Cricetulus griseus: one gene and its partners. The protein of the gene in region 1 purifies or fractionates together with the protein of each later gene. This does not show direct contact. Links are inferred from orthologs where the notes say so. Each region holds a gene or a part of one and is shown on either strand. Other genes may lie near its edges. The genes, in order: Faslg, Snx9 and Snx33.

Region 1 (10,453 bases):
CACCCTCTCTCCTACCCTCATGCAATTTCTTAAAAAGAACAAAGAGGAAAGAAATTTTGCCTAAACAAGTGCCAATACATTTAAGACCTTTACAAAGTTGGTGGGCATGTTGGTGAACCTCTGTAATTCCATAATTTAAGAAAAGGAGGTAGGAGAACTGCCAGTAGGAGGCCAGCCTGGGTACATACCACACTGGAAATCTGCTTGTCTCTATAAAGAAAAAAAAAACATATCTACAATGCTATGACTAAGAGGACTATGTTATTTTCTTACCAGGATAGATAGATAGACCAAACAAAACTGAGAACTCTAAGATGGATCAATCATCAGTGGAAACTGTGATAACTATGCCACTGTGATTCAGTAGAAAAAAAGATGGCTTGAGTTGAGGAAACTGTACAAGATTTGCATTTTTAACACTTCTATAACTTTTAATTGTGTGTAAGCATGTGTGCCTCATATGTGGGTGTGTACATGTAAGTGCAGGTACCTGAGGCCAGAAGAGGACACTGGATCCTGTCGAGTTGCAGGTAGTTGTGGGGTGCCTAACATAGGGGCTGGGAAGTGCTCTTAACTTCTGAGCCATCTTTCCAGCCCCTGGTTTGAATCTGAAATGTCTTCTCAGGGCTCATGTATTTGGAGGCTTGATCTAAAATGCAAGGGGCCCTCTAGGGGCCAGGTGATTTGATCATTACAATTCTGATCTCATGAACTGAATAACCATGGGGAAGAGCTTTGTTATAAAAAGCAAGCCCTGTGCTGGTTGGCCACCATGAGATGATCAGCTTTGTTATACAACAAGCTCCCTGCCATGACGTTCACCCCTGCTACCCATCTACTGAACACACTGAAGTCATGAACTGCCTTGATCCAGTCGCAGCTGGCTCAGGTCTTGAGATGGGAAAGGGGCGTTGGCATGAAGAAATGAAATGTCTGGCAGCCGGGAGAATTTTACACAAGTGGCCTGTCCATGTAACTCCAACCATCTTTATACATAAAAAAGCATGTTTTTCCATACTAACAAACAAGCTTTTCCCATCCTCCAGCTCCAGCAAAAAGAAATATGTTTTCTCCCAGCTTTTACATCAAAACATCTTTAAACCAAAACAACACTTATCATTTTGTTAGCTTCGCCAAATATCCAGCCAAGTATATCCGGCCTTTACAAAACTAAAAGGTGATTGACATAGGCACACATTTTCAAGATCAACAATCCCGTTCAAAGCATATTTACAGAAATAGGGGTGATATAAGCATATTTACTGAAATAGGGGTAACCTACCTCTGATCCTATCAGCACCGAATTAGGATAGCTCCTGGGATGTGAAGTGACAGCTGGCATCCCCAAACTTGAGAATTTTAGGGGAAGATACTCAAGAAAAAAATGGGTTTTCTAGGAATGTTCACATCTGTCAAATGCATGATTGACAAAATGACACTAAAACCACCAAAAGAATCATCAATCATTGTATGAGAAGAGAGTGTTCAGGCCACGTGGTCTCAGCAGAATTCTGCACTGTCCAAAACTCCACCAGTCCTTGCTGAGTGCAACTGTCCCGGTGGGCTTTTGCCTCATCTGGAGACCCCATATGGACAAGCACTCATATACTGGTCTGAAACTGTGCAGCATGGCTCCCAACCATGAGCCAAATCAAACTTTGTCTTTTAAATAGATTTCTCTTTTTGTCACATAAACACATAGACAAAAATATAGACTCCTGACTCATAAGCAAAAGTGTGTATTAAAACCCAAATGTGCAATCTGCATGCATTTGGGAGAAGACATTTGCAATATCTGAAAGCAGCCATGGCTTTACATCTAAAATATCCATAAAGTATAAGAAAATCCTGCAAATCAGATGGAGGAGATAAACAACTTTTAATTGGCAAACAGAATATGCACATAACAAGAAAATGGATTGCCCAACAAATATACAGCTGATGTTCAAACTCATAAGGAACCAGAGAGAAGGCAAGTAGTAGATGGTGAGATTATCTTCATAGGCATAATATGCTTGGCAAAAATTATAAAGGTGGATGCTACAGAGCAGAGAGCAAAGCCCAGGCTAGGATGGTCCTTGTAACTGCTGGTGGTGTCAGGGGATTGAGCTGCCAAATGAGCATCCTGGAAATACTTAGAGAACTTGACCTAGTAGGCTCACGCTCACAAATAAACTCAAACTTGGAGTGTACTATGGTCTTTGCTTACATTTGCAATCTTCCTGTCTACTTGGCAGATTGCCTTGGAGGGTTTCTCTGGGCTAGTTAAAAAAAGTAACAGCAGGTTTTCTGACTGTGCATCCCCCTGCTGAGTCACCTCCAGAGCTCTGGTCTGTAGTCTACTGAGTCAACTTTCCTGCAGATTCCCTGGGATAGTAACAGTAGGAGACTGAGAGAAGTCAATCAGCTTGAGGTTCCAGCCTGGCGGTTCTTGATTAGTTTTTCCTTCAGCAGCCACAGTGCTAAGTTCTACTTCAAATGACGATTTCTTTTCATTAATAAGGCTTTGGTACCCGCCGGGTGTTGGTGGCGCACACCTTTAATCCCAGCACTCGGGAGGCAGAGGCAAGCAGATCTCTGTGAGTTCGAGGCCAGCCTGGTCTCCAGAACAAGTGCTAGGATAGGCTCCAAAGCTACACAGAGAAACCCTGTCTCAAAAACCACCCCCCCAAAAAAATAAGGCTTTGGTACCAATGTGATGGGTCTTGTGACTGTTCACAGAGGTGTTTCTTCTTTCTCCATCTTGCCTGGGGGAATGCTGGATTGAACCACCAAATTCCAAACCAGTTTCCTGAAGTTCTCTTGTCTCTTTCATCAAGGGACTCCTCTCCTCTCCCTGTGATTGGAGGGCAGTAGGGGTTAGGAAGACCTGGCTTCTGATTCCTCTATCAAAAAAAAAAAAATGAATTAAAAGAAGAAGGGCAAAGAGAGACATGGAAGGACAGAATGACGATTATCAAAGAACACTGGGAGTCTCAGGTAGGAAAGCAAGGAGAGACCAACCAGGGCCAACAGTCATGGGAATAGTGAGTGAGGTGAAAAAAAAATAAGGCAGGCATGGATGACTGGAATCATGAGATTGCCAGCAGAGAAAGAGGTTGGATTTGCAGCTGGGGTGAGACAGGGTGACAGCAGCAGGATAATGACACTTTAGGTATAGGTTTGGCATAAAGGAGAAAGTCAGGTGATCATCTCAAAAATCCCCAAATATGAGACAAAAACTATGAATATTTAAGACATAGAGCTTGCCCCGAAAGACAGAATATAGGAATTTCTGGAATTTATATGGCTTATATGGGAAAACGCTGGAAACAGAGGCTGAGTTCTTAGAACTTATTAGACATAATGCTGTGTGTGTGGCCAGAGTGAAGTCAACCCAGGCAGGGCAGGCAGTTTTAGAAAGTCATAAGATATATAGCTGATTTTGCTGTAATTGCTGAATAAAGTTTTAGCATGTTCTGTGTGACGGTTAAAGCCCATATGCCATAAAAATTATTTGTTGTTTATCCCAGTCTCTTCTGAATTGGGCACCTGAAGTTTCATCTGGTGACCATAACAGGGATTGCAATGATAGATGATTACAGAGGCTTGGAAAGCCACTTCTCAGGGGAAGTGGGATAGGAGGCACAGTGGGGCAGCGTGGACCACCTGAGGCACATTCCTGGTGGCAGCCAACTGGCGTTCAGAGATGGCCAGGGATGCCTAATATTCCACTGTTTTCAAAGAGAATAGAGGTATGTAGTTTGAAAGTGAGCAATTAATGGAAGAAAAGACACTGCTGATAGGAAAGCAGTCTTTGTGGTACTACAAGACACATGGGCCCGTGGTTTGCAACCTCTGATCTAATCTGTGGGAATGGGTGAGGCAGGTTTTACCTTCTGAACTATGAAATGATGGTGACCTGCAAGGCTATGGTGGTAGGTAGTACTCGGTTGAGGGAAGGAACAGCAACAGGGGATTAAATTCCCCATGCAAAAGCTAAGATGTGGAGATAGCTTCTGTAGCCGAACTCCATGGTTTTTCCTCTGAGCATCAGCTCCAAAATGCCACACAGTTCATTTCTTGCAGCTAGAGAACAGCTCATGTTCTCAAGGAGAATCCGGACCTCAGGCACTTCTCAGCCACCTCAGGCAGCATAGAAACGCCAATTGCATTTCGAAGACTTTCGTCAGAAATTTGTGGGCGGAAACTTCCTGGGGTCGCTGAGAGCTTTTTGAGGCTTTTGAGCTTCAGATGCAAAGTGAGTGGGTGTCTCACAGAGAAGCAAAGAGAGAGGGGTGTTTCCCTTGACTGTGGAAACTTTATAAAAGAGAACGCACTCACTTATCTTCTCTGGAACAGTCAGCGTCAGGAGTCCTGTTCTCCACATTTCAAGAGTCTCTGCAAGATTGAGAGAAGAAAACCCTTTCCCAGGGCAGGGTGTCATGCAACAGCCTGTGAATTATGGATGTCCCCAAATTTATTGGGTGGACAACAGTGCCACTTCTTCTTGGGCTCCTCCAGGGTCAGTTTTTCCCTGTCCATCCTCTGTGCCTGGAAGGCCGGACCAAAGGAGACCACCACCTCCTCCACCACCGATACCACCTCCGTCACAACCACCACCATCACCACCACCCCCACTGCCGCCAATGCCACCTCTGAAGAAGAGGAAGGACCACAGCATAGATCAATGGCTACCGGTGATATTTTTCATGGTTGTGGCGGCTTTGGTTGGACTGGGGTTAGGAATGTATCAGCTCTTCCATCTGCAGAAGGAACTGGCAGAACTCCGTGAGGTAAGCCTGGCATAGGGATCAATAAGGCCCCAAGTCCCTGGGTGCAACATGACTCTGCTGCATGTGGGCCACTGTATTGCTTGCAATGATTTGCGTTTTTTGTTTGTTTGTTTTAACGGTAAAGATAATTTTAATCCCCTGCGTTTTAGGAAAGGGTTGGTATAGTATTTCTATTCCACAGTTGGAGAGACATGCTCACTCCCTCAAAGACAGTGGTTCTCAACATGTGGGCCATATGGTCACGACCCCTCCGGGTAGTTGAATGACTCTTTCACAGGGTTTTCCTGGATATTAGATATTTGCATTATTGTTCATAACACTATCAAAATTGCACTATCAAGTAACAATGAAATAATTTTATGGCTGGGGATCACCACAACATGAGGAACTGTATTAAAAGTTCACAGCATTAGGAAGGTTGACAACCACTGGTCAAGGGGAATATTTTCCATCATTTAGAGATCTGAGGCAAATAATTATTCCTTTCTCCGTTGTCAAGAATGCCATAAACTTCTTATAGCTTCATATTTAGTGATTCAAGGAAAAAAATCAATTTTGGATCTTGATTGGAAGTATAGACTAAATCTGTTTGAAAAGATTTGGAATTCTTAGTACTACTCCAGATACCATTGTGTGGCTCACATCTAAGTTGGGCCAGGATCTGAAGTATCTGAGTTCTTTTTCTAGGGACTGATGGGATTTTTCTGACAGCTTGGCTTAAATAGCTCCACATTTATTGTATGAATCTTTCTCTTTTATCAGCTCACCAACCAAAGCCTTAAAGTATCATCTTTTGAAAAGCAAATATGTAAGTACTTTTATGTATGTCTTTTGAATTCCCCAAAGTGGTCCTCAACACTGAACAGAGTTGGAAGGATGCCTGGGAGTCTCCCCTTTCTTAGGCTTACAATTCCTTTGCAAGATCCTGGGGAACTTAGACTCTGCATTCAGTCCGGTTCCGTGAACTACAAAAAAAATTGGATGAAGTTTATTGCTCAATAGCCATGTATCTGAATGAACACTGCATATAACTCAAATGAACTTGGGCTTGACTTTTGAAGGAGACATACAAACAGCCCTGGACTTTTCCTTTTGCCCCTTCCCTGGGTATCTTGGTCCCATCTCACATGGGTGGCTGTGACTCCTCAAGACAGAAAGGGAGTAGAGGCAGACACAAATGTTTCTGGAGATGTCCTCTCCTCCTTTTAAACTAAAAGTGACTACTCAAGAATGAAGATGTATTTTTAAAATATCTTGTAAGATATTTTAAATAAATTTTAAGTAAACCCATTGTTTTCCTTAATGTTTTCTTCTGAAATTGTTAGGTATTTTGGGAAGACTTTAGCCATTGTCCACAGGACTGTACACCTTCCCCACAGAGGACTTAAGATGCCTTTGATGAGTTTGATGATAAAAACACCACACACATACACACACACACACACACACACACACACACACACACACACACACACACTAGATCCAGGCTAAGAGGAAGATGATCAGTTTGAACATAAAATCTCAGGGCATGGTTTTTAGGGATTGAACAGAGATATGAGGATCTGTTTTTATATGTCTTGGACTCATGTTCACAAAGCTTTATATTTCTTTTGAATTGGAAAGGAACTTAGGGAGAAAGTGATCTATTTTCCATTTTCCAGGAGAGATACAAAATACTATACCAATTAGGTTCAATGCCCATGTCTTCTGGTATGAAGCTGGGTACAGGAAAACAGTCCCCTTATGCCTTGTTTCTGATTCACAGAGAAACTCCCACCTCTCAATAATGGCCCTGAAATGATGCAAAGCAGTTGCCTTTGCAAAAGCAACAGGGCAGTTTTATCCTACAAACTTTGAAGAAAGTTGAAAGGCAACAGACAACAGTGGCCATCCATTAAGGAGAGTGGGCTCCATACTCAGAAAGTGAGCAGTCAGCTCCTGCCTGAGAATATAAGCTCTTGTAAGGGCCACCATGGTGTGCTCTGGTTTTCAGCTCAGTGTTCAAGTCTCTAAGCACCAGAAAGCCCAGATTACACAGGGACAGTGGAAATAACTTGCTAGAAAAGTGAAACCTCTCAGGGTTTTTAAAGTAAAATCACTTTGAAAATCAGTGGAACGAGGCTTGTGTATAGGTGTTAATCACTCCCTGTCACCCACTCCATGGAGTCATTTTTGTGAATAAAAGTCAAGTGGACAAATGAGTCAGGTCTACCTACCCCAGTAGTTATCTTCTTTATATCAATGTAGATGGCCAGAAACTGATAAACTGTCACAAGAAAGTTAAAATTATCACTTTGCTATTAAGAGGGGCTGACTTAAGGAAAGGGGTATTTATTTCTTCCTTCAAATTCACAAAAATAAGAAAACAAATTACAAATATGTGTGAGAAAAAAAGGTCATATCTGGCACAAGTTTCCTCCAGCATGCATGGAAATTGTTGTAAGTACCATGAAGAACATAGGAAAGTTCATTCCAAGGGCTTGAACTGTTAGTCTGCTTTGTAATCTCAACACTAAAAGATTCTCTTAGGAAAATAGTTGGAGATAGATAAAATAATTTACATATATAGTGTTCATCTCTTTCTCTCTTTTTTCTCTCTTTCCTTTCTTTCCTTCCCTCCCTCCTCCCTCCTTCCTTCTTTCCTTCTTTAAGGTGTGAACCACCACCACCTGGCTTTTTATTTTTTAAAAAAGATTTATTTATTTATATTTTATATCCATTGGTGTTTTGCATGCATGTCTATGTGAGGGTGCCGGATCCCCTGGAATTGGAGCTACAGACAGTTGTGAACTGCCATGTGGGTGCTGGGAATTGAACTTAGGACCTCTGGAAGAGCAGCCAGTGCTCTTAACCTCTGAGCCATCTCTCCAGTCCTATTCATCAGTTTCTTATAAAACAATTTGGAAGAAACCTAACCTTCAGAATAGGAGATGAGTTGAATACACTGTGGCACATGAATAATACACCATTATGAATGGCACAAAAACATCTAGTAGAACCACCTAGGACTTTTAATGTCATAAATATTGTGCACTTTACATTGTTAGGTAAATAGTCAAGTTATCAAAGGCTCTTTTTAGTTTAATACTCATTATGAAATATGTATGCATGTTTTTAACTTCTAAGAAAAAAACAAATGAATATAGAAAGTGATTGTTTTTTTTCTGGAAGACACTATAGTTATCATAGATTTCTTTCTTCCATTTAAAATACTTTTTCAAACAATTTAATAATCTTATTGCGTGTTTACATACACATGTGCATATGTATTGCCACAGCTTGTGTGTGGAGGTCAGGAAACAACTTGTGGGGATTGGTTCTCTCCTTTTACCAGTGGGTTTGAGAGATCAAATTCAGTCCTCAGGCTTAGCAGCAAGCTCCCCAGCCATCTAATCAGGCCTATTAATTCTTATGCTTCTATCTTCTCCATGGTTAACTAATTGGATGTTTTATTTATATACAAGGTTTCTAGAGAACCTTCTGTGGCTGAGGCTGAGTCTTGGTTGGTGTTTGAGAATGAGAGAGATAAAGATGGAGGAGTGCTCTCATGTATCTTATAACACAGTGGAGAAGATGAACAAAAACAAGTCAACAATACAATTCCAAATAGTATTAAGAGTGATCCAAAGTAGAGTGGTCTGGAAATCCTTTATAGGGTTGTCTATGCTGATGCACATGGAAGCTATCAGAAGCCTCTCAAAAAGAAGAGTTGATGTATGGGTCATGGAGGAGGAAGGACATTCCACATTGCACATGCAAAGAGCCTGGGGCAGGAAAAAGACTTTCCTCATATTTCTAGATATTTCTAGGACCTGTCCAGCAGACATTTATAAGAGTATATTTTATGAGAATAGCATTGTACTAGGCTCTATGAGAAATATAAATCTAAGCAACATGTGGTTCTCTGCTCCATTTCCTGTTAGTGCATGGCAGAATGCCAGGTCATCTACTCCGGTGGTTTGTGGTGTGTAAGAGGTCCAGTCTTGCCTATCCTTTCCCTCACACTTCCTTCAAGAAGGGTTGTTCTAGGTGCTAGAGAGGTCACAATTCTTTAGATAATATTCTCAGTAAACAGGTATATTTTCACACCCTGTGTGTGTTTTATAGTCTAGTCCCAAATCTAAGGTGGACAAGCACCCTCCTATAAGTGTTTTTTTTAATGTGTTAGTTAGCTGAATTCATGAAGCCCAGTACTATATTTTTACCTTAACTGAGGTATTTGAAGTCAGAGAAATAGCATTTATTCAAAAAGATATTGTCAGTTTTAATGACTTCAATTTAATTTACTGATACTATGCTAAACAAGGCTAAATGCTCTTGTTACTTAACTATATAGTAAAATGGCATTAGGGAAAGACTTGGTAGCCAGGATCCCAAAGTCCAGCAATGTTAGTACTAGTTTAGATCATAAAGTGATTATTCCAGAGAGCTGCTATTTTCCTGGACAAGAAGGAAGTAAAGGCAGTTTTTATAGTTGCCCTAGGAGGGAGGAGCCATAACTATCAAGAGAGGCAAAGACAGAAGGGTCTTAGGCTTTGAAGGGTGAAGGGCCATATTTGACAAAAAGTGTGGAAGGGTTTCCCAAAGGAAGAGGAGTGTAAGATGGTCACTAGATAATTGACAGGAATTTAACTCAGAGATCTCATTTGGAGGGCGTTCTGGACAGAATGAGCAAAAGCCCAGGAGCAGGGAAGAAGGGGGCATAATCAGTTCATAGAACCCATGCTGTGTGCAAGTGTTTGATGGGATGGAATAGAGGGAGTAAGACTGATACCATGTAGAGGAACTCTGGCTAAGGCTACATGATGGAGTAAAATTGTGGACAACCTCGTGATAGATGAGGAGGTCTTAATATTATCACCTTGGAAATAGATTGTAGATTGGTGCCCAGGAGATGAATCAGTAGTCTACAGGTCAGCAGAATCAGGGTGTACAGACCAGGGATTTACAGTCAGCCCAAGGTGCCCATTGCATCCACCGTTAAAGTCAGTCAGTTACTAATGTCTTATTGCCAGTTATAATTGGGACAATAAAGGGGTCAAGGCAAGTTCTAAATGGAGTAAATGAAATGGCTATTTTATCATAATATAATTTATGTATTCATCTGTATTTACCTGTCTTGTCTTTTTAAACTGTTTTTGAATTACAGACTCTCATGAGTCCCACAGTTTAGAATTTCTTGATAAGTCTGTACTAGAATATTTCCCCCTATGCTCTGAAAATCACATATTTAAATAGTGGGATTTAGAGTCCCAATCAAGATAGTGGTTGGCACCCATCATCATAATTTTCACATGTCTTTTGTCTCTCTATGATGCAGACCACCCCGGTCAACCCTCTGAAAAAGAAGAGCCGAGGTGTGTGGCCCATTTAACAGGTTTGTGTCTGGAAGGACTGGGTGAGGACAGAAAGTCTGGAAAACTGTGGACCAAATGCTCAATTTCCATTGTAGGCTCTTAGAAAGTATTATTGACAATTGTATTTACCACTCAAGACCATTCATATCTCTGGGATCTCATGAGCCTAATCTGACAATTCTAATGCTGTAGACTTGTGTATGGCTTGATCTTGGCCATAAAATGTGCACTCTTGAGGATGGAGCTCACCTTAAAGCTCTAAGCTCTGGACAGATGATAGAGAAAACGGGTGTCACACAGATGTGAAGGGAGATGAGAACA
Region 2 (10,675 bases), on another chromosome or scaffold:
TCTCTTTTCACCACTCCAGGCCTTTGGTGATCTTCCAAAGAGTTACTAGAGCTATTTTGTTCCTAAGGGTTCAACTTTTTGGATTCTAAAAAAAAGTGAGATTATACAGTAATTGTTCTGGCTTAATTCACTTAGCATAATGTTCTCCAGGCTCTTGCATATTGTCACAGATGACAAAACATCCTTTTTATTTTTAAAGAATCATCTATTGATGGACATTTGGATGGCTCCATGTCTTCTGATTGTATGAATTGCTATGAACACGGTAACAGAAATTTCTCTTTGGATATGTGCTCAGAAATGACATTATTGGATCGTATAGCTGTTCTATTGTTGTTTTATTTATTTTTTTGAGTAATCCCCAAATTGATAACTGCTTATCAATTCTCCATGGTTAAATCTAAAAAGAAAATCAGGAATACAGAAATCATTCACATGGTATGCTAGTGTCTTGTCACAGTTACCAACACCTAAAATAATAAAAAGGGGAAAGACTCATTTTGAATCATGGTTTCAGTCCGAGGTCAGTTGGCACATTGCTGTTGTCTCTGTGATAAGGTCAAACGTCATCGTCAGATGGACATGATAGATCACAACTGTTCACCTGTGGTGGCCAGGAAGCAGACACCATACAACCTTGCTTTTTTCCCCCTTGTGCTGATATGGTGAACATTCCTAAGACCCACCTGCCATCTGACTTTCTACAAGATATGTGGCAAGCACCAGCCCCACAAAGTGACCACCACTTCAAGAAAGGCAAGCATGCTTTGTATGTCCAGGGAATACACAGTGTTCTGACAGGAAACAGTGGCTGTGGTGGGCCGACTAAGCCCATTTTCCACAAAGGACTCAAACTGCTGACTGTGCTGAGACCTGAGTGTGAGCCCATCTGCAGATCTGAAAGGATGCTTCCTACTCTGAGATATGAGCACTGTGACTTCCAGGCGGTGAGAAGAGAAAGTGACAAGAGGTCCAGCTCTCAGCTGGTTTTGTTATGAGGGGAAAAAAAAAATCATGAGCTGTTATTCAAAAACAAAAGCAAAGAAAATATAATCTACAACAACATGCTTTGGTGATCTACTTCTTTCAACTAGGCCCCACTTCTAGAAAATTTTACTGCATAATAATTAAATTACGGATCCTTCAATAGATTAATCCATTCGTTAGTTTAGCTAAGCATTCTCATGATCTAATCACCTCTCTTACAACAGGATATGAAGCCTTTAATGCATGAGCCTGGGGGAGACACTTCCTATTTAACAGGTGGGAGAAGCTGAAACTTGATGCCTGAGCCGTTTGAACTTACAAACAGGTTTCTAGAGAGCCTGTCTTCCAAGGTGTGACACTTGAACTTTGTACCTTCCCATCAAAACATGCATGTGGAATTGTTGCAAAGAGGTATATCCAGCCTTTCCACTTGAAAGAATATTTCTAGTGTTCCTTGTGTTCAAATGTTGGCATCTTACACAGCAGTGGTTTTTATTTATTTATTCCTTAAAAAATTTTAAAACAACTTTTTCCTTGTTTACCAAGTAAAAAAGTAAATTAAAAAACTTTTTACGCTGGGTGGTGGTGGCACACGCCTTTAATCCCAACACTCTGGAGGCAGAGGCAGGCAGTTCTCTGTGAGTTCAAGGCCACCCTGGTCTACAGAGTGAGTTCCAGGACAGCTGTCTTAAAAACAAATAAACATAAAATTTGAATTTAAAATGGGGCTGGAGAGATGTCAGTAGTTAAGAATACTGACTGCTCTTCCAGGGGTGCAGGTTCATTTCACACAAATGATGACTTACAACCATCTGTATCACTAGTCCCAGGGGGCCAATGACTCCTTGGCACTTATACAAATTAAATATTTTTTAATATATAAACTCATGCTTTAAAATAATTTCTTAGCATGGCTAATAGTATTGGGTTAAACTTTCCAGGATTTTCTGGACTTGTACCTCTTATTTCTATGTTCTTCACACAAATGGATTGTACTGTACACAATGTTCTTTTTCATCTTTGGCAATATTCAAACTACTGTTTGCCTTTGGTGATGGATGGATACCAGACTCCCTATGAGCATAAATTCTGAAAATGTTCAAGTCCACTTACAGATGTCATAGTGTTCGCATAGAACTGTTCTGAATCCTCCCATGTATTTTGAACTACGTATGGTGCAAATGGTAGATAAATTGCTGTTATTTTGTTTAGAAAATAATGCATGAAAAAGAGGTCTGTACATGATCAGTGCAGATACAATTTTTCTTTTCAGATAGTTCCAGTCTGAGACTGTCTGAATTCAGGGATGTGTGAAGATAAAGGAGTGATTGTCTTATCAATTTATGAACCTCCAAGAACTTAATTTGTATAAATTTGCCTTATTTATCGGGACAGTCCTATTAACAAGTATATAGGTGTTTTCTAGTTTGTCTTAAAATGCTTTGGTAATGTCTTTGCTAACTTGCCCAAGTCTGACAGGATGCATTCCTAGAAGTTGCTGGGCCCAAGGCTGTAGTTACTTCCAATTTTGTATTCCCAACTCAGGTTAAGTTATTTGAGCCATCCTTTGTTCATCATTGTAAGTAATTAGATAATAACTTTCTCAAAGGGCTAAGTGAGATGGAGGCTTCAAGTCTAGTATGCAGAAAGAAGGCTCTCAATGACTTTCCTTGTCCTGTGCTTAGAAAGACAAGTCTGGGCTGCCCAGATGGCTCAGCTGATAAAGGCACCTGCTGCCAAATGTGACCACTTCAGTTTGATCTCCAGGACCCACATGGCAGAAGAAAAGAATGGACTCCTACCAGTTGTCCTCTGAGCTAACTCCACACGTGCTATATGTATGTACCCACCCATGCCCAGTGTGTGTGTGTGTGTGTGTGTGTGTGTGTGTGTGTGTGTGTGTGTGTGTGTGTTAGTTGTTTCACTGCTGTGATAAAACACCATGAAAACCAACTTGATGAGGAAAGGGTTTATTTTGCTTACCCTTCCACATCACAGTTTCCATCTAGGAAGGAAATGAGGGCAGTAACTCAAGGCAGGAACCTGGAGGCAGGAACTGATGCAGGGGCTGTGGAGAGGGGTGCTGATTACTGGCTTGCTCCCCAAGACTTGCTGAGTCTGCTTTCTTATGTCCGCCGGGACACCTGCCCAGATGCGGTACTTGTCTTTCATCAATCAAGGAAATGTACCACAGGCTTGCCTGAAGGCCAATCTGGAGGAGCTTTTCTTTCAAGTGAGATTCCCCCTTCCAAAATGACTCTACCCTTTGTCAAATTGACATAACTAGCCAGCACTACACATACACATAACACACACACACACACACACACACACACACACACACACACACACACACTCGCTCACTTAAGAATATAACCGTGGCTGACTATAGCATTGACCATGAGTTCAATATACACACATTCACAGAAAACTCTATAGTACCACCTAAACACTATTATTGGCTGTAACTACCTAACTCTCTGGGGAGTCAAAAATTTTTTTTTTCCAGCGCTGGGTGGCAAACCCAAGGGCTCATACATATTTGTCTTTCATTCTTCAACCCCCAGACCAAGAAGCTACAAATCTGACAGTGAATTTAAATAACAACTTCCTGAGGTAATAGAATCGACTTTATTTACCTAGAATATGTATCCTTAATAAAAAATATAATGTATTAAACTATTGCAACAACTAAGGCAAATCTTGCAGGGGCGACTTTTGTGAAAAATCTCATTGCTCAATTTATGTCACCCGTTTATTAATAAAATCCATATAGAATCAACTGTGGACAAACTACTCTGAATTAAAGACGTTATACTTTGGACTTCTCTTTCAACTTAAGGAGACCGGTTGTTCCCTCAAACCTCTGAGGCTTTTTTTTTTTTTTTTTTTTTTTTAATGCTCCAAAGGGCAGAAGTGGGTCATCTCAGAATGGAGTCCCTAAGCGTCCAGGCCAAGAAGCCCAGGCCAGACCTCAGCCTTGGGGAAACTCCATGTAGGAGGCAGGATCTCCCAGCCCGGGAGCAGGAAGCCATTGCTCGGCCCGGGCTGGCTGTCTATGTGGCACTCGCGGTCGTCAGCCCCCAAGCACCCCGACCCCTCCGCAGCAGCCCCGCCGAGGCCCGGGGATCCCAGGCAGGTAGCTCGGGCCCGGACTCGTCCAGAGTCGTCGTCCTCCTTCTCCTCCCGCAGGCAGCGAGCCGGGCCCGAGGCTCAGTGCCGCACCCCGCGAACGGCTCAGCCGGGACCAGGCCGCTCGCAAGCTGCTCGCCTGACTCCGCAGCCGCTGCTCCCGCCGTGGGCCCCGCACACAGGGCCTGGGGCGACGGGGTCGGGGCGGAGGCCTGGGCGGGCGAGGAGGCCGGGCTGCGGCCGAGGCCCCAGGCGCGCTTCCGCCGGCCGCGCCGCGCACGCCGCGGTCCATGGGAGGCTTGGCCGGCGGGGGCGGGGGCCGCGCAGCCGGGGACTTTCAGGAACTGCAGGCGCGGGCGGCGGGAGTCGCCGAGCCGCGGGGGCCGGAGCGCCGAGAGCAAGGCTGAGATCGAGCGCCGCGCCGTGCCCGACCGCAGCCGCCAGCCGCAGCCGAACCCGTCCTCCCCGCCCGGCTAGGGCCGAAGCTCCGCGGCGCGGGACACCAGCCGGCCCACCGGGGCCCGGGAACCGCCCGCCATGGCCACCAAGGTGAGGGGCGCGCGCAGGCCGGACCGGCCGTTCGGCCCCGCGGCGGGAGGCGGAGGGAGGCCGAAGAGCCCCGGCGGTCGCTCACGAGTCGGTCCCCGCCTCCCGGGCCGCCGCCGCGGGCACCGAAGCGGAGGAGCGCTGGGGACGGGTTCCCGGGGAGGCGGCTTTGCAAAGTTTGCACCTGAGCTGAGCCGGGCGCCCGGGATGGAAAGTTCCCGCGGCCCCAGAGCCGCGGGTCTCTCGGAGGCTGTCGCAGGTCGCCTGCCTGCCTGCCTCCTCCTCCAGACCGCGGCCCCGCGCACGAGGGGGCCGAGCCGGGCGGGGAGGACGCTGCAGCCTCCCGGAGCCGGGAGCCGCGCTCCGCGCCCTCTGCCTTCAAGTCTCTCATTTTTTCGTTTTGTTTTTGCTGTCTTTTCGGTTTGAATGGGACGTTTTCGGAGTGAATAAAGTATCAAGAGGGAAATGACTGTGCTTTTAGACTACGTGGTTGCTCGCAGAAGAAAAACAACAAAAAGGGCCAAGGCCCGAAATGCTTAGTGGAACTTTGGTTCCTGCTTGGTCAATGGCCAGGAGTCTTGGCTTGCTTATGTTAGTTATGTTACTGTTTGTGAAATTAGCAGTCCGTTTTTGCTGTCTGAGTCTGCATAAATTCGTTTCCCTGGTTCCCTTTTCTTATGTGATGTCAGTAGTGACTTGGGCATGAAACAGCCACTGGGAGAAGCCTGAGCCTTGGAAATGAGGAGCTCGGGTGGGGAGAAGCACCGTAGGTGAACCCCTGATGATCTGTGATGTGTGGGTAGTACATTAACTTGTTTTGATTATGTCACACATCAGCATATCTTCCCACATTTATTTTTCAAATATCTAAGCCACTCTGGGTTGATGAAAACTTTTTAAGGTGGGGGTTTATGGAAGGATAATTTAGAAAAATGTTGAGGAGTTTGAAAGATCAGAAAGAAGTGCCTGATATCCCTTAGTCTCTTGAAGTTGGTGCTCAGATAAATTGCGTGTTCTGAATCTGTTTAGGTGGTGTGTTTATACAGAAATGAAGCTTCTCCAGGGAACCCGCTACTGTTGCTGTTGGAATAATTGCCTTGTTAGTATATCTGGGCTGTGTTGTTGCTTGGTTTTATTAGACATGAACCAACTGGCCATCTCTTTAACATACTGATTTTGTGACCACCTTGTTGGAAATAAGTCATAATTCAAGCAAAAGATTTTCTAAGGAAATTTGATTTTGAGGTTTCTTGCCAAACGTTTCAGAAATTGCAAATCCAGTTACATCGTTATCTTGCAGCCTTGACAGTGGTTTGTGACATAAACCCTGTTCAGTAGGGGTCAGTTTGTAACCCCCCCCCCCTCGAGGCAGGCATGCCGACTTTGGCTTAGCAGCTAATGCATGCTTAATGAAGTTTATTTCCCGGTGAAGCTTGGACTTAACGTTTCCAGTGAAGAACACAGGCATCATTGTACTGAAGTAGGGTTGCCTGTGACCTCATTGAACACGAGTCTCTCAGCCTATGTAAGCATTTCCTAGTTGGTTATCTGCTTCTCTGGAGGCAAATTCCAGCTCTCCTGGCCCTTGTTGCCCTTCCCTACTTTGCAATCACAGTTTCTGGTGGCGTGCATTCCCACGTGGACTGGATGACAGACCATTGCTGTCTGAAGAAGGGCTGGCCGGGGAGCCCTCATTAGAAGGGAACCCTGCTGCAGTTTTCTGGCTATCCTATTCCCAGATGTCAAACCAAAGCCCCATTTTTCAGTTGTTTCTAGATAGCAAAGTTGTCGTCCTTGGTTATCCCAGCCCCAATACACACCCCTCTCTTTCCTACAGCTGAACAGTTGGATTTTTCTCTTTCTGCCCTTTCATCATGGAGGAAGGTGGTCAGATGTACTTAGTAATGATGATGGACTATTAATAATGTTTTAAGTCCAAGTGGTACTCGGGCTTTTGCTGGAAGAGCTAAGTGTTGGGAGGTAAATGTTTCATCTGGACCTTTGAGGAGGTAGTGCTGGGATTGCCATAGTATTTACCAGAAAAGCAGATTCTCTGCAGATACAGTTTCCGTCTTCATTGTTCTTAATGCACGTATCTCTGAAGTCCCATTATTTCTTAAATTATTTATTTTATTTATGTGTATGGGTGTTTTGTTCACATGTACATCTGTGTACCACATGCATTCCTGGTGCCCAGGGAGGTTAGAAGAGGCCACTGGATCTCCTGGAACTGGAGTTAACAGTTGTGAGCTTCCATGTGGGTGCTGGGAACTGAATCCTGTTCCTCCGGAAGAGAGCAGGCAGTGCTTGTAGCCACTGGGCCGTCTCTCTAATTGTCCTGAATCTTATGACTTTTCAGAGCTCTTGGTAGAGTCATAATAGAAAAAAAAAAGAGATCTTGTAGAATAACTTTAGTTGGGCAGTTCTTCATTGCGAAGGACAGATAATCAGTGACTGTACATTTTAAAGGGATGGTCCTGGTTTTGTTTCTCATCTCGGTAGCATGCTGAACTCTGCTTAGGTGAGCACACTGCTTAGAGAGCAGTCATGTCTCATTTAACAAATACAGCGACAGGCCGTAGGAGCGCTTCTGTCTTGACATCTGTTAGATGTCTCCTGAGATTATGCTCTGACATAATCCTGCAGTGAATTTGAGTAAACATTAGCTCACTTCAAAGATCAAGTCTTGAGAATTTTTTATGTCAAAATGAACATAAAATAATGAATGTCAATTAGCCTATATCCATATGATTAGCTGTAAGTTCCATACCAAATTAATCTTTGCTAATTGATTTGGATCCCTTTGTGCTTACATGGTCCCCTGGAATAATAAAATTTACCTCCCCTTCCAACTTCACTTTTCAGACCCAGTACCTGACATTACACATATGTGTTAATGCAGCTTTTGGTTGAATTGAGTGAGTGTGGAACATTAGAGGTCTGGGTAGATGAGACTCTTCACTGGACTATATCCATAAGGACAGTTTAGAAAACAACCTTGCAGTCTCTCTAAGCAAAAACCTCTTTATTTGAATAATAGAAATCCTACCTGAAGAGTCTTAAGAATTATAGCTGAGGGGCTGTGTGGTGATATTTTGTTATGATCTAATAAAGCTTGCAGAGCTAAGCCACTAGTTAGCCACACACCTAAGCCACTAGTTAGACAGTGGCTAACTAGTTAGACAGGCAGTGGTGGCTACACCTTTAATCCCAGCACTCGGGAGACAGAGGCAAATAGATCTCTGTGAGTTCAAGACCACCCTGAACTACATGAGAGTGAAACAGAGCTCACACCTTTAACTCCAGCACTAGAGAGGACTAGAAGGCAGGGGCCCAGTGCAGTACAGTGTGCAGTCTGAGGTTTGGTGGAGAGCATTGCAGTCTATAGTCACGCTGAGGACAGGATCGACCCCTTTTGGTCTGAGCCTTGGTAGAGTTAAGGACTCTGTAGTGGCTTGGCTGCTTTGCTTTTTCAGTTTTTCGGTTTTTTTTTTTTTTTTTTTTTTTTTCAGTTTGAACCCCAATGTCTTTCTTTGGGTTTTTATTAATCATGCTACAGGACTGAGATTGGTGTAGTTGGTGAAGTGCACATGCATGGGGACCTGGGTTCCAGAATCCTAATTAAAAAAGAAGAAAAGAAAGCCAAGAGCTCACACCTGTAGTTAGAGCACTGGGAAGACCTCACTGGCCAGCCAGTATGACTCAGTCAGTGAGCTCCAGGCAGTTAGACAGTCTCAAAATAAGATGGAGAACAAGAAAGGCAACCTATGTGACCTCTGTCCTCCTGGCCTCCACACATACATGGACATGTACACACATGTATGCATGCACGTGTACATGCACACACACAAGACTTTTTTTGTAGTTGTTTTGTTTTGACACAGGGTCTCACTATGTAGCCCTTACTGGCCTGGAACTTGCTCTATAGACCAAGTTACACTCCCATAGATTGCAGGCCTCTGTGTCTGAGTGCTGGGATAGCAGGCATATGCCACCATAGCTAGCTGATTTGTATAATTTTTAAAATGGTGTAGGAGATGCTTCCTAATTATTGTCTTGTAATGGTATTTTATGTCTTAAATATCTGTGTATGTGCAGTCAGAGAAAGATTCTGTAAGGATAGAAATGAAATAATTTTTAGTAAAGGAGGAAGAGATTAGAAAGTGTAATAGTTTTGCAAACACTGGTTTTTTTGTTTGTTTTTTTTTACTGTGTTTTGCATTTATATTGATCATCTGAAAATTAAATAACAGCTTGGCTTTAACTGCTTAAAACTTGGTAGCTCTTAACAGAGTGTAGCAGTCCCTCTGGAATCTTAGTTCTGGGGACATAGAGACATGAGGATCTAAGTTTGAGGCCTGTCTGGGTGTGAGACTGTGTCAAGAAAGCCCTGACGTGGTTTGTATGCTGTTCCTTCCTGTGTGCCTTCTCTGTGCACGTGAGGTCTTAGCCCAGAGCATCACTTCCTAGAAGCCTCCCATGTCGGTCATCTCCTGGTACAGGGTCCTGCCATCCTTCCCAGCTGCCAATTTTGTGTGCATCCGTAACTGGTGCTGCCTCCTAAGATGCTGTGGCCCCTGGAGGCTGGAGTTGTGTTTGCTCATCTTTGTGTCCCCAGCATCAGTTTGGAAGAGCACAATGATGGTCTACTGACACAGTGACCCATACATTATAACTTATTAAAGCTATAGTTAATCTCCAACTCTAAGTTAGCAACTCTTTTTAAAAGTATACATGCACAATGCAAAAAATTATACCTGCAACTTAGGTATTAGTAATGTTTTGAAATACAATGGATCTACTCATGAATATGTAAAAAAATTGATTGTTAGTGTGTTACCATGGCTGGAACCAGCCTCACACTTTGAGACTTCAAAGGGTAGTTAGTTTCTAACCTGTGAGTTGTCAGCATTATGCTTAAGATTTCCCCATTGTCTTTTGGTTGGCTATTTCTCATTTGAAAGTGTTATTCAAGGAATCTCATTGATAACTGGTACTGTAGCTAGAAATTTGTTGAGACTAAGCTTATACTTAGGAAGCAATTTGGCCATGTGTTTTCTGTGTGCAGAAAGGGTCTATTAGTTCTCTGTATGTATGTAGTTAGTGAGTGTCCATTAGGCTGAACTTGTTAAATATGCTGTTCACATAGCCTTACTGATTTATATTCTGTAGTTGGTGGAAATCCTAAAATGGGCTGTTGCAGGAGAGGGGATAAAAAGATTATCAGAGCCAGAGGACAGGAAGCCCGCTGTGATGTGCTGTCTTCTAGACACTATAGGAAGCCTTACCCAAACATTTCAGTAATGTGGTTGCCCAAACAGCCTGCATAATGACCACACCAGACAGCATACCAATGGGGATGGAAATTCATTGGGCCCCACCCACAGGGAAGAGTTTCCCAGCCATTCAGTGGCTGCTGAGGGAGGGTGAGTCAGGGCTAGGCCTCTTCGGGGACAAGAAAGACCCTTGACAGGTTACCCAGGCTCAAGTGGTCAGCTCTAAACACAGGCATGTGTGAGCAGCAGTGAGTGTACTCAGGTGTCATAGAAGGAGAGTTCTGAATCAGAGTGGGTGGGTTGGAGAGAGAATGGAGGGAGGAATGGAACTTATAAATACAGCATGCTTATGTATGAAGTTCTAAAATTTATAAAACAAAACAAATATAAAACAAAAGAATAAATAATTTCTCTAAGTTTAATAGTCTCAGGTGATAAAACTTCTGTTTTCAAGAAGCCACCCTCTATTGCTAGTGTTGCAGTTTTTTTCCCTTAACTATGTTTTTCACTGTTAATCTGACCTCATTGGCCTTCATTTCATAAGCACTGGTTGAATTTTATTTCATTTTTATATATTTATTTATTTGGTTTTTCGGACGGGGGCGGGGGTGTGTGTTCTTTCTTGTGTAGCCCTGGAACTCGCTCTGTAGACTAGGCTGGCCTCAAGCTCACAGAGATCCATCTGCCTCTGCCTCCCTAGTGCTGGGATTAAAGCCGTGTGCCACCACCACCTG
Region 3 (10,651 bases), on another chromosome or scaffold:
GCTCTTATTATTGCTTCCTGTGTTACTAAAGTAACAGTGTGCCTTCCATACTACCATTTAGTGGGCTTCCTTGCTCATTCCTAAACAATGACAATCCATCTCCAACCTGTGCATGAATGGGGCCCTACTAGCAAAGAGAACATGTTCAATTAAAGGGAAGAAAGGACACAGCACTGTGGTGCTTGCCCTTAATCCCAGCACTCAGGAGGCAGAGGCAGAGGCAGAGGCAGAGGCAGAGGCAGAGAGGCAGAGAGGCAGAGGCAGAGGATCTCTGAATTTGAGGCTAGCCTGGTCTATGTGAGAAGTTTCAGGCCAGCAAGGCTACATAGTGAGACCCATCTGAAAAAATAAAAATAAGAAAGAATAAAAATAAGAATGAGGGCCAGAGAGCTAGCTTGGCTCAATTTTAAGGACCAGAGTTCAGATCCCACTGTGTGGCAGAATTCCCCCTGGGCTACCTGGTCTGGCTCCCAAGTGCTAGCACCAAGCCTTAATCCATCTTTTGTTTACCAGTTATCTTTTGTTTCTTGTTTCTTTTGTTGCTCTCTGTATGAATCTTGCCTGAGAGTTTCCCCAAGGGAAACTATGCAAAACTTGGTTGGGGGACAACTGCAGCACCTCCTTAATTGAAAGGATTTATACTTGGCATCATTCCTTCCTCAGGATGTTTTGAGGATATGGAAATCAATTTGCTAAAGTGTAAACTGGAGAACAATAAAAAAAGTCCTGGGAAAAAGAAAAGAGGCTCAGTACTTTGAGACAGATTCACCCTGCAACTGAGAAAAGTAATCAGTAATCTCAGGATGTATGGACGGCAGAGACTAGACTTGCTGAATCTGTAATCTTTGAGCTGGGTGCAGGGAAATCATAAGGGTTAGTGCACTTTACTAGTAACAATGAGGCTGTTCCCCTTAGACCTGAAGAGGATCCCTGGGATTTAGTGAGTAGAGGGGGTTCTGGAAATTTCTGTAGGCCGAAACACTTGTTTTTCCTAAGAATTTGGAAATGAGGGTAGCCCCTAAGATTTAGAAAAACTATACCTAGAGCATATAATAAATCCAAGTTGGCTGTGTGTGACTGGAGTGTTTGAATGCAAAGTAAAGACGATATAGGAAGCAAGCTTGTTGTCACAGTTACTCAGGAAACAGAGGCAGGAGGACTACAAAAAGGTGTGCCTGGATTACAGAGCCTTCATTATGTGCAAGTTGGAGGGGCAGACTGGACCACTTGAGACCTTGTCACAAAAACAAAGCTGGGTATTATGGTACATTCCTGCATCCCAAGCACTTGGAAACAAAGGCAGGAGAACATTGCAATTTGTAGCTTAGCTTTGTCTCATAGTGAGACCCTGCCTCAAAAAGAAAGGAAGGGAGGGAGGGAAGGAAGAGAGGAAGAAGGGAAAGGAAAGAAAGGAAAGAAGGAAAAGAAAGAAGAGTGCACAAACTCTAGAATCTGGGTAGTTTTACTCAGGGAAAAACAGCTGTAAAGCAAAATGAATTTTCACATCAGTAGGTCAAGAGTTGGGATTGCTCCTTGGGAAGCTCAGTGGCCAGGATAGCCCACGACACACACACACACACACACACACACACACACACACACACACACACACACGTCCCCATCCCCCACCCCTGCCATACTGTAGCATGAATAATAAAAACCTAGAGACAGATAATGTTTAAGCTGAAGATCAGAAAAGCAAAGCAGCCAAGCTGCTAGAGAGTTCTTACCTCTACCAAGGCTAAGACCAAAGGGGGTGGGGGGTGGGGACACTATCCTGTCCTCGGAGGACTGCCGACTGTAATGTTCTCCATCAAACATCAGACTGCACCAAGACTGCACTGAGCTCCTGCCTTATAATGTCCCTGGTGCTGGCATCAAAGGTATGAGCTCTGTTTCTCTTTTAGACTGATTAACTCTCATGTAGCCCAGGGTGGCCTTGAACTCACAGATATCCATCTGCCTTTGTCTCCCAAGTGCTGGAATTAAACGTTTGGCCACCACTGCCTGTCTGTCTTCTATGGCTAACTAGTGGCTTACCTCTAAAACACGTGTGTGGTTAGTTAGCATTCTGTTCTTCAGGCAAACTTTAGTTGTTAGGTTATAAACAATATATAACTACACATATGAAGAGCCTTGACTCTAAAGACTCCCAGCTGCTTTCTTTTGTTTGTTTTGAAAGGGTCCTGCTATGTATGTAGCCCTAGCTGGACTTTTCTAGAACTTCCTAGATAGACCAGGCTGGCCTCAAACTTGTAAAACCTTCCCACCTCCGCCGGAGACATTCCTCTCCCTGCTTGAGAGTCTCTTCTTGTTCACAGACCTTTCTCCTAGTTGAGCCTAACAATAACAACTATTTCTTTAGTGGTTGCTGGGTACTAGGTACTGTTGTAGAAACTTCCTTCCATACAGTTGCTAGGCTTTCTGAAGTATAGGCCTATCCCACCTGCCCCTGTCTCCCAAGTTCTAGGATAAATGTGTCTACCACCACACCCAGCTATTTTTTTGTTTGTTTGTTTTAGATTTATTTATTTATTACATGTACACTGTTCTACCTGCATGCCAGAAGAGGGCACTAGATTGAATTGTAGATGGTTGTGAGCCACCATGTGGTTGCCGGGAATTGAACTCAGGACCTCTGGAAGAGCAGTCAGTGCTCTTAACCTCTGAGCCATTTCTCCAGCCCCCAGCTAGTTTTTTTGTTGTTGTTTTGTTTGAGAAAGGGTTTCACACTGTAGTCCAGCCTCCAACTCATGGTAGTTCTGTTTCAGCTCCTGCCCAGTTTTTAACTTGGTAAGATCTCGATTTGTGTCCCAGGCTGGCCTGGCACTCACTATGATGGCCACAAACTTAGGATCCTCTCCTCCCATGTGTGTCACCACGACCAGCTATTAGTAATCTTCAGAGAGTCAAATCCAGATTGTACCAATGAAAACGAGTTTTGAAGCCAGAGGTCTGGGAATCATGTCCCTCAAAACAGCCAAAGGTCCCAATTTTAGCAGCACTAATTTAAACTAGTAGGAAACTCTAGCCAGGGGGCGGTAAACAAGGCTCCAGGGCTCAGAATTGAAAGAAGTCTGGGCTGAAGTCTTTGTGTAACCTCAGACGTCTCCGAGGAAAAGAGAAGGTCCTTGATATGTGTTCCACTCAGGCTAAGTGCCCTCCCATGCATTTTCCACAGCACTGGATACACTAGGCAGGAACATCTTGCCCACCTGTGCAGATACTTAACGCGCTTCCAAAAGGGAAGCACAGTTTTCTTACTTTGTTGTTTTTCCAGGGCTTGGCAAATTATTGGTACTCGGTTAATTTGTTGTTTGGAATATACAATTTAATGAATGAGACAGATTGGGTGAATTAAAGACCAAAGGGGCACGGCAGGAATCCAACCATTGTGCTATTTGCTCCAGAATTTAGCACAATTCCTCTCCTAATCTGCTCACCGCGTTTTGCATAAATCGGTTCACCGCGTTTTGCATAAATTGGAGGGTCAAATCCTGGAAGCCTAGAGGCTATCTACCAGATTACTCCCTCTCCTTGGTGTTGCTGGCTGGAATTTAAGACTCAGTTCCAACGAAAGGAAAAGGCAACCCAGAACCCGCCTGTGCCTAAGTTCCTTGCCACTGCTGAAGTATACTCTTGCTCCCCACCCCCACCGAAGGAAGCTGCCCAAGGCAGGGGTGCTCCTGGCCCAATCAGGCTCGCAGCATCCGGTATCTCATGCGGGACACCAGGGTCGCACAGTTTGCTGCCTTCCCCTCTGAGAACAATCCCGTATCTGTGCTAGTCACCAGATTGATCAGAGCAAGCAAGGCGGGTAAGGAGGCTGGGAAAGGGGCCTCCGCAGGTCGCCTCCCCTGAAGCCGGCGCGGTTCTCCTAGCCCTTAGCTCCCTCCTTGCCACTCGGCGCTCGGCAAACTTTCGGAGTTTTCCTGCAATTGCGTCACGGAAAAGGCAGGCGGGTGATCGAGGCCAGGAGGCGAGGCCCCGCGGCGGCTGACGAGCTCCACCGCGCGGCGCTCCCACCGGGGCGAGAGGTGGCTTTCGGCACCGGCAACTCTGCTGCTGAAACCTTGCAGCTCCCCGACTCCCGGTGCACTTCCCGAATCCCAGCCACCCGGACTGAACCCGAGGGTGGGAGGGCGCCTGCCAGAAGGAAAGAGGACGGAGAGCGGGTGGTGGCACCCTGGCCTCGGGAGGGCGGAGCTGCGCGGTCCTTGCTCCAGGACGCGCGGAAGTGCTGTGGAGTTTGCCCAATTCCCTAGCCTGATTTCCCTCGCTCATACCTCCCTCCCTCTCTCTCTCTCTCTCTCTCTCTCCCCACCCCTCACCTCCCCTGCTGCTTTCTCCTCCTTCTTCGGGACGCCACCTCCTGGACTCCTTTTCCTTCTTTTTTATTTTTTTTATTTTTTTGTTTTGTTTTGGACCTGGCTTCCCGCTGGCAGCGCTGAGGAGTTGCAAGTGCGGTGGAAAGAGGCAAGAGACTAGGACTCAGCTCATCCCTCTCGGGCCGCATCCACAGGGCATCGCAGAGAACGAACCGCCGGCCGGCCGGACAAACAGCCGGTCGCGCCATCTATTCGACGGAACTCCATCTACCAACTACTGTTGAGTGTTTGCTGGCACACCAGTGGTGGTGGGGGGTGATGGTGGAGGTTTCCACTAGTGTTACTTCTGGACAGGGGTTCTAGGACTCCGATCAGGGTCAACTTAGGTACTCCGAAACTGCTGAGGAATTAAGCAAACAAAAGAGGCAGAGAGAGAGAGAGAGAGAGAGAGAGAGAGAGAGAGAGAGAGAGAGAGAGAGAGAGAGAGAGAGAGAGAGAGAGAGAGAGAGAGAGAGAGGCTTGTCCCCCCCTTGTTCTCCGAGGGTAGGGGCTATTGCTGGGCGGGAAGAGGGCACCAGAGCGGGCGAGGCGGGGTCGCACCCCCTAGATTTTGTAGTTATCTGCTGGTTGTGCAAGCTTTTGGCCCTTGTTTTCCCTGCCTGGCTCGTTTGGAGGCCGGACACATCCACCCTTGGAATTGGTTCAGGACTCTGCTGTTATTCTCCTTGCCCCTCTTGGATTTTCTGGATTCTTGAAGACGCGGTGGCCTGGGAGGAGAGAGGAAGGAGGAAGGAACAGATCTTCAGAGGAATGTGAGAGCCTCCCAAAGCCGGAGCTGCTAGAAGGAGCTGGGAGCTGGGAGCTGGGGAGGCAGAAACTAGTCTCCGATCCTGGGACCTTGTTCCGGGGCCGATTCTTTTCTGTTGTACAACATTGTTCTAGTGGAAAGTGTCTGTCGCTTTGGATTCTTGTTCTAGCAGAGCTGTTTTCTTCAGGTCATTTGGCTTTTCTACTTGATGTGAGAGGAGGGAGAGACTCCCTCCTTCTCAGGGGCTGCCAAGGGAGAAAAGAAAAACTGTGGTCATGACCAATCTCTCCCTGCTTACAGGCAGATACCCCAAGACTGGATAAGTCAGTTTCTGGACCATGAACATTTCTTTGAAGAGAAGGCAGCTAGACAGTTTATGCTGAGACCCTGCCTGGGGGTCTGAGTAAGGTATAATAGACTTTGAGCTGCAAGTACACTTTTGGGCACCCTGCTGAGCATCCTGGGTCTGGGCAAGGCATTTCCCTTCCAGTCTTGACCAGGTAGCCTAGCCATGGCACTGAAAGGCCGAGCCCTCTATGATTTCCACAGTGAGAACAAAGAGGAAATCAGCATCCAGCAGAATGAAGACCTGGTTATCTTCAGTGAGACCTCACTGGACGGCTGGCTGCAGGGGCAGAACAGCCGTGGGGAGACAGGGCTCTTCCCTGCTTCTTATGTTGAGATTGTCCGTCCTGGCATCACCACCAACTATGTGGACTACCCTAGCAGCCTTGCAGGCTCCCTGAGTACCCAAGTGAGTTTGTATAACAGCTCTAGTATGGCCAACCCAGCCAGGAGTGGTGAGGGCAGTGGCTTCCTCTCAAACCAAGGAAGCTTTGAGGATGATGATGATGATGACTGGGATGACTGGGATGATGGATGCACAGTGGTAGAAGAGCCAAGGGCTGGTGGCCTAGGTACCAATGGGCACCCTCCACTCAACCTCTCCTACCCGGGTGCCTACCCCAGTCAGCATATGGCTTTCCGACCCAAGGCACCCTTGGAAAGGCAGGACAGTCTGTCATCTGCCAAGCGGGGCAGTGTGGTGGGACGAAACCTTAATCGTTTCTCATGCTTCGTGCGCTCTGGGGTGGAGGCCTTCATCCTTGGTGATGTGCCCATGATGGCCAAGATTGCTGAGACATACTCCATTGAGATGGGCCCTAGGGGCCCTCAATGGAAGGCCAACCCCCACCCATTTGCCTGCTCTGTAGAGGACCCCACCAAACAGACCAAGTTCAAAGGCATCAAAAGTTATATTTCCTACAAGCTTACACCCACCCATGCTGGCTCACCTGTTTACCGGCGCTACAAACACTTCGACTGGCTCTACAACCGCCTTCTACACAAGTTCACTGTCATCTCGGTGCCCCATCTGCCTGAGAAACAGGCCACTGGCCGCTTTGAGGAGGACTTCATTGAGAAACGCAAGCGACGACTCATCCTCTGGATGGACCACATGACTAGCCACCCAGTGCTCTCTCAGTATGAGGGCTTCCAGCATTTCCTCAGCTGCCTAGATGACAAACAGTGGAAGATGGGTAAACGCCGGGCAGAGAAGGATGAGATGGTGGGTGCCAGCTTTCTTCTCACCTTCCAAATCCCCACAGAGCACCAGGATCTGCAGGATGTAGAGGACCGTGTGGATACATTCAAGGCTTTCAGTAAGAAGATGGATGACAGTGTTCTGCAGCTTAGCACTGTAGCATCAGAGCTGGTGCGGAAGCATGTGGGAGGCTTCCGCAAGGAATTCCAGAAACTAGGAAGTGCCTTCCAGGCCATTAGCCATGCCTTCCAGATGGATCCTCCCTTTAGCTCTGAGGCCCTCAACAATGCCATTTCTCACACCGGCCGGACCTATGAAACTGTTGGTGAGATGTTCGCTGAACAGCCCAAGAATGATCTCTTCCAAATGCTTGACACACTGTCTCTCTACCAGGGCCTGCTCTCCAACTTCCCTGACATTATCCACCTGCAAAAAGGTAAGCCCTTCCTAAGTGTGGTGTTCTGCTGTATGGTGACAGCCTGTATGATGACAATAGCTCATCACATTTTCCTGTCTCCATCTCTATTGCAGGCTCAACAAATGTATTGAGATGATTCTGTAGAGAGTGCTGTTGTAGGCAGAGGGATATTGTGGACAGGTTTGGTCTTTGTTCTCACTGAACTTGTGTATACCATGCTGGCCACTCTGGTTTTTCTGTGTTTCATCTGCTCCATCACGCATGGAACCACAGGTACAACAACCCTGGGTTCTGGGAACACAGAGATAACCAGATCCCAGATTGTGCCTTATATGAACCCCTGGTTCAAGGGGAATCAAGACACAGACACAGGTTGCCTTACCCTCTCATAGGCTCAGCTCCTACCTTTGAGGCATTTGAGCCTAGGCCCTCCCTCTACCCTGTCTGCTAGTCTCTCTGTGCAGGAGATCTCTGTCCTCATTTTGCAGATAAGTCTGTGTCCACAGCACAGTGGTTGTGGCTCACATGGGACTATCCCTTCCTCCCTCCAGCTCCCCAAGGACATATCCATATTGGCTGCCTCCCAGGCCCATCATGTTTTCACTTCTCATGGCCCCCTGTGTGGAGGAGGGACAGGATGAGCCCCTGCCTGTTGCTGCTGTTAAGGAACTGCCAGCGAAGTGACTCATCCTGGGTCACATGGAGCACTAAGCTGGGCACAGGGGAATAGAACCAGAGTTCCAGGGCTCTGGTCACATGGGCCAGTGTATCTTCCCTTCCCAAGCTGGGCTTCTCTTGCATAAGAATTGAGTCAGGGGCTGACCTAACAGGTGACTTAGTCCAGACTTAGGGAAGGCAGAGTCAAGAGAGAGGTGTGGTCCTCCCTGGGGCTGGTAACTCAGGAAGAATATATCAGGGCGTGTGGCAGCTCCCAGTACCCTAGGCCCTGAGGTCAAGGAGTTTTACTCTGGGCAACCCCTCTGGTTTGAGTGTAGGGAAAAGCAAATGTTACCTCTGCCCTCAGGCCCCTGTCCTAATCATGATGGTGGCTGTCAGAACTCTGTCTGGCAGCCCTCATCACCTTCTCCTTTACCTCTTTTGTTTGCTGAACCCTCACATCTCCACCTACTTTCTTTCCCTTTCAGCCCCAGGGAATCAAAGCTTGAGTTCTAGCCTGGCTTGACACCCAGTTTTCCTTGTGTCCCTGATTGGGAAAGGCCTTTGCCTTCCTGGACCTTAGTTTCTTAGGCCTTTCAGGTAGAGACTTCTGGGGAAAGCCTGCCCTGTGCCTCAGGCTGGTCCCATAGATCTTCCTTTGCACTCAGAGAGGGGGCCCAGCCTGGCAGGAGCAGACGCCTCCCGCCTCCCTGTGCGGAAGTGGAGCCACACACCGTGCTGGGCCTGGGAAAGCTGGTTCAACCAGCTCCTTGGATGACATGTTTTTGTGTGGGCAGCAAGAGGCTGGGCACAATGATTAAACAGCTATCCCAACACAGTCGCTGGAGACTCTCACTTAGGGCAGAGTTGGGGCAAGAGAGACAATCACAGGTTCACACACTGAGTGTCCCAGACTCTCACCAAAGAAGGGGAAAAAAACCTACATTGTCCTTTCTACCTCAGACAGTTAAGAGAAGCCATGTCTCAGTCTCCACTTGAGATGTTTCCTAGAGTCAGGGGCTTCTGCCTTCTGGGGAAACCGGGCAGCCTGAAGCAGATGCTGCCAGAGGTCATTACCCTGTATCGGCCACCTGCAGTGCAAGCCCTGCTTACTCTAGGTTCTAAGTTCTAGCCTGAGTCTAGAGTGAGTCTGAGAGGAGGGCTTGGAGTTGATCTAAGAGACAGAACTGAGCAGGCTTTGGAAACTGCAGGGGGAGAACATCCTGTACTAGCCTTGTAGATAGAGACTTTTCTCAGAGAAAGTAACAGGATGTTTGGTCCTGCTGCACAGGATTCTATCTGTCCCATCTAGACGTTTGAACAAATTGTGAGCATGTGAGAGAACAGTTGGGGGAGGCCCAGCCAGGCCGGGGAGGCAGGAAACAGGGCCAGTGGCTGGTATGGTCCCTTCAGCACTGAGGTGATTTGACGGCAGAGTAGGTATAGGGCCAAGTATGTTGGAATCTACTGCATCAGGCAGATGGAGGAGGGAACTTCCCAAGGGCTGGTTAATTGGGTTTGATGGTACAGAAGGGAAAGGAGGAAGGAAGGAGGCTTGGACTTCATAGTCTAGGACCACCTCAGTTGGTATGCTTGTGTTCCTGAGGCAGGTCTGGGACTACAGAGCATCCTTGGGGGACCTTGGAGCTTGTGGCTTACCTAAAGCAGGGCAGTTCCTGTAGGTACAAGCTCCTGACAAGGGGACAGATAGGTTCAGCCTTATAGAATTCTTTCTTCACCTCAGCAGTGATTGCTGCTGCTCTGCTCCTTTAGCTTTGCTGTTGATCATATGTATCGCCATGTGTCTGTGTTTGGAGCTGTATATGTGAACATGAGTGAGGGTACCCACAGAGGCCCAAAGAGGGTGCATCTCCTAGAGTTGGAGTTACAGATACTTGTGAGCTGCCAACTACACTCTGGCCCTTTGCAAGAGCAACAAGTATGTTTAACCATCTTTCCAGTTCCAATAGCAGCAGTTGCTCCTCTTTCTTCTTTTTTGAAACAGGGTCTTTCTTTGTACCCCAGGCTAGTCTTTTTTTTTTTTTTTAAAGATTTTATTTATTATGTATACAACATTCTGCTTCCATGTATATCTGCACACCAGAAGAGGACACCAGATCTTATTACAGATGGCTGTGAGCCACCCAGGCTAGTCTTAACTCTTGTTTGTGTTTTGTTTGAGACAGAGTTTCTCTGTGTAGCCCTGGCTGTCCTGGAACTCACTCCGTAGACCAGACTGGTCTCGAACTCACAGAGATCCACCTGCCTCTGCCTCGGAGTGCTGTGATTAAAGGTGTGCACCATCACTGCCTTGCCTCAAACTCTTGATTGTCCTGTTTCAGTCTACTAAGTGCTAGAACAACAGGCATGTTCTACTGTTCTTGATCTGCCTAAGCTATTTTAATTTTTTAAATATTTTATTAATTCTTTGAGAATTTTATGCAGTATAATTTGATCATATTCACCCCTCTCTCTTTCTTCTAATTCTTCCCAGATGCATTCACCTCCCTACTCCCCATTTATTTATGTATGTATGTATGTATGTATGTATTTGATACAAGGTCTTATTAGATAGCCATAGCTAGCCTGGAACTCTCTATGTAGACCAGGCTGGTCTCAAATTCTGTCTCCCAAGAACTGGGATTAAAGGCATGTACCACCATCCCTTATTATTTTTTTAAATAATAAATTGAACTTACTGAGCTCAATTTGAGCTGTTCATATACTCATGCTAGGTGTGGGTGTGAGGCCATCCACATCCACTACAACATAGGTAGCCCACTTATTTTGTTTTTTTGAGAAAGATTCCCATATAGCTGAGGTAGGCCTCAAACTGGATCTTGCTATATGGCCTAAGATGACCTTGAATTTCTGAGATCCTCTTGTTCTAGGAT

What was found.
Region 2: the proteins of Faslg (region 1) and Snx9 purify together in Homo sapiens (co-immunoprecipitation; 3 studies listed by BioGRID and IntAct, with this or other methods). This does not show direct contact. The link is inferred for Cricetulus griseus from reciprocal best matches to the Homo sapiens genes FASLG and SNX9.
Region 3: the proteins of Faslg (region 1) and Snx33 purify together in Homo sapiens (co-immunoprecipitation; 3 studies listed by BioGRID and IntAct, counting the BioPlex papers as one, with this or other methods). This does not show direct contact. The link is inferred for Cricetulus griseus from reciprocal best matches to the Homo sapiens genes FASLG and SNX33.

What each region holds. Positions count from the first base shown.
Region 1 is NC_048598.1:30,334,788-30,345,240, forward strand, and holds the start of Faslg (tumor necrosis factor ligand superfamily member 6), read left to right. Parts: upstream 1-4,424; coding exon 4,425-4,775; intron 4,776-5,537; coding exon 5,538-5,583; intron 5,584-10,095; coding exon 10,096-10,152; intron 10,153-10,453. UniProt on the Homo sapiens protein: Cytokine that binds to TNFRSF6/FAS, a receptor that transduces the apoptotic signal into cells. Involved in cytotoxic T-cell-mediated apoptosis, natural killer cell-mediated apoptosis and in T-cell development.
Region 2 is NC_048595.1:286,966,507-286,977,181, forward strand, and holds the start of Snx9 (sorting nexin-9), read left to right. Parts: upstream 1-3,903; 5' UTR 3,904-3,918; coding exon 3,919-4,122; intron 4,123-4,427; exon of another isoform or gene 4,428-4,656; coding exon of another isoform or gene 4,657-4,668; intron 4,669-6,052; exon of another isoform or gene 6,053-6,067; coding exon of another isoform or gene 6,068-6,190; intron 6,191-10,675. UniProt on the Homo sapiens protein: Involved in endocytosis and intracellular vesicle trafficking, both during interphase and at the end of mitosis. Required for efficient progress through mitosis and cytokinesis. Required for normal formation of the cleavage furrow at the end of mitosis.
Region 3 is NC_048597.1:168,445,443-168,456,093, reverse strand, and holds the start of Snx33 (sorting nexin-33), read left to right. Parts: upstream 1-4,489; 5' UTR 4,490-5,140; exon of another isoform or gene 5,141-5,436; 5' UTR 5,437-5,647; coding exon 5,648-7,118; intron 7,119-7,213; exon of another isoform or gene 7,214-7,373; intron 7,374-10,651. UniProt on the Homo sapiens protein: Plays a role in the reorganization of the cytoskeleton, endocytosis and cellular vesicle trafficking via its interactions with membranes, WASL, DNM1 and DNM2. Acts both during interphase and at the end of mitotic cell divisions.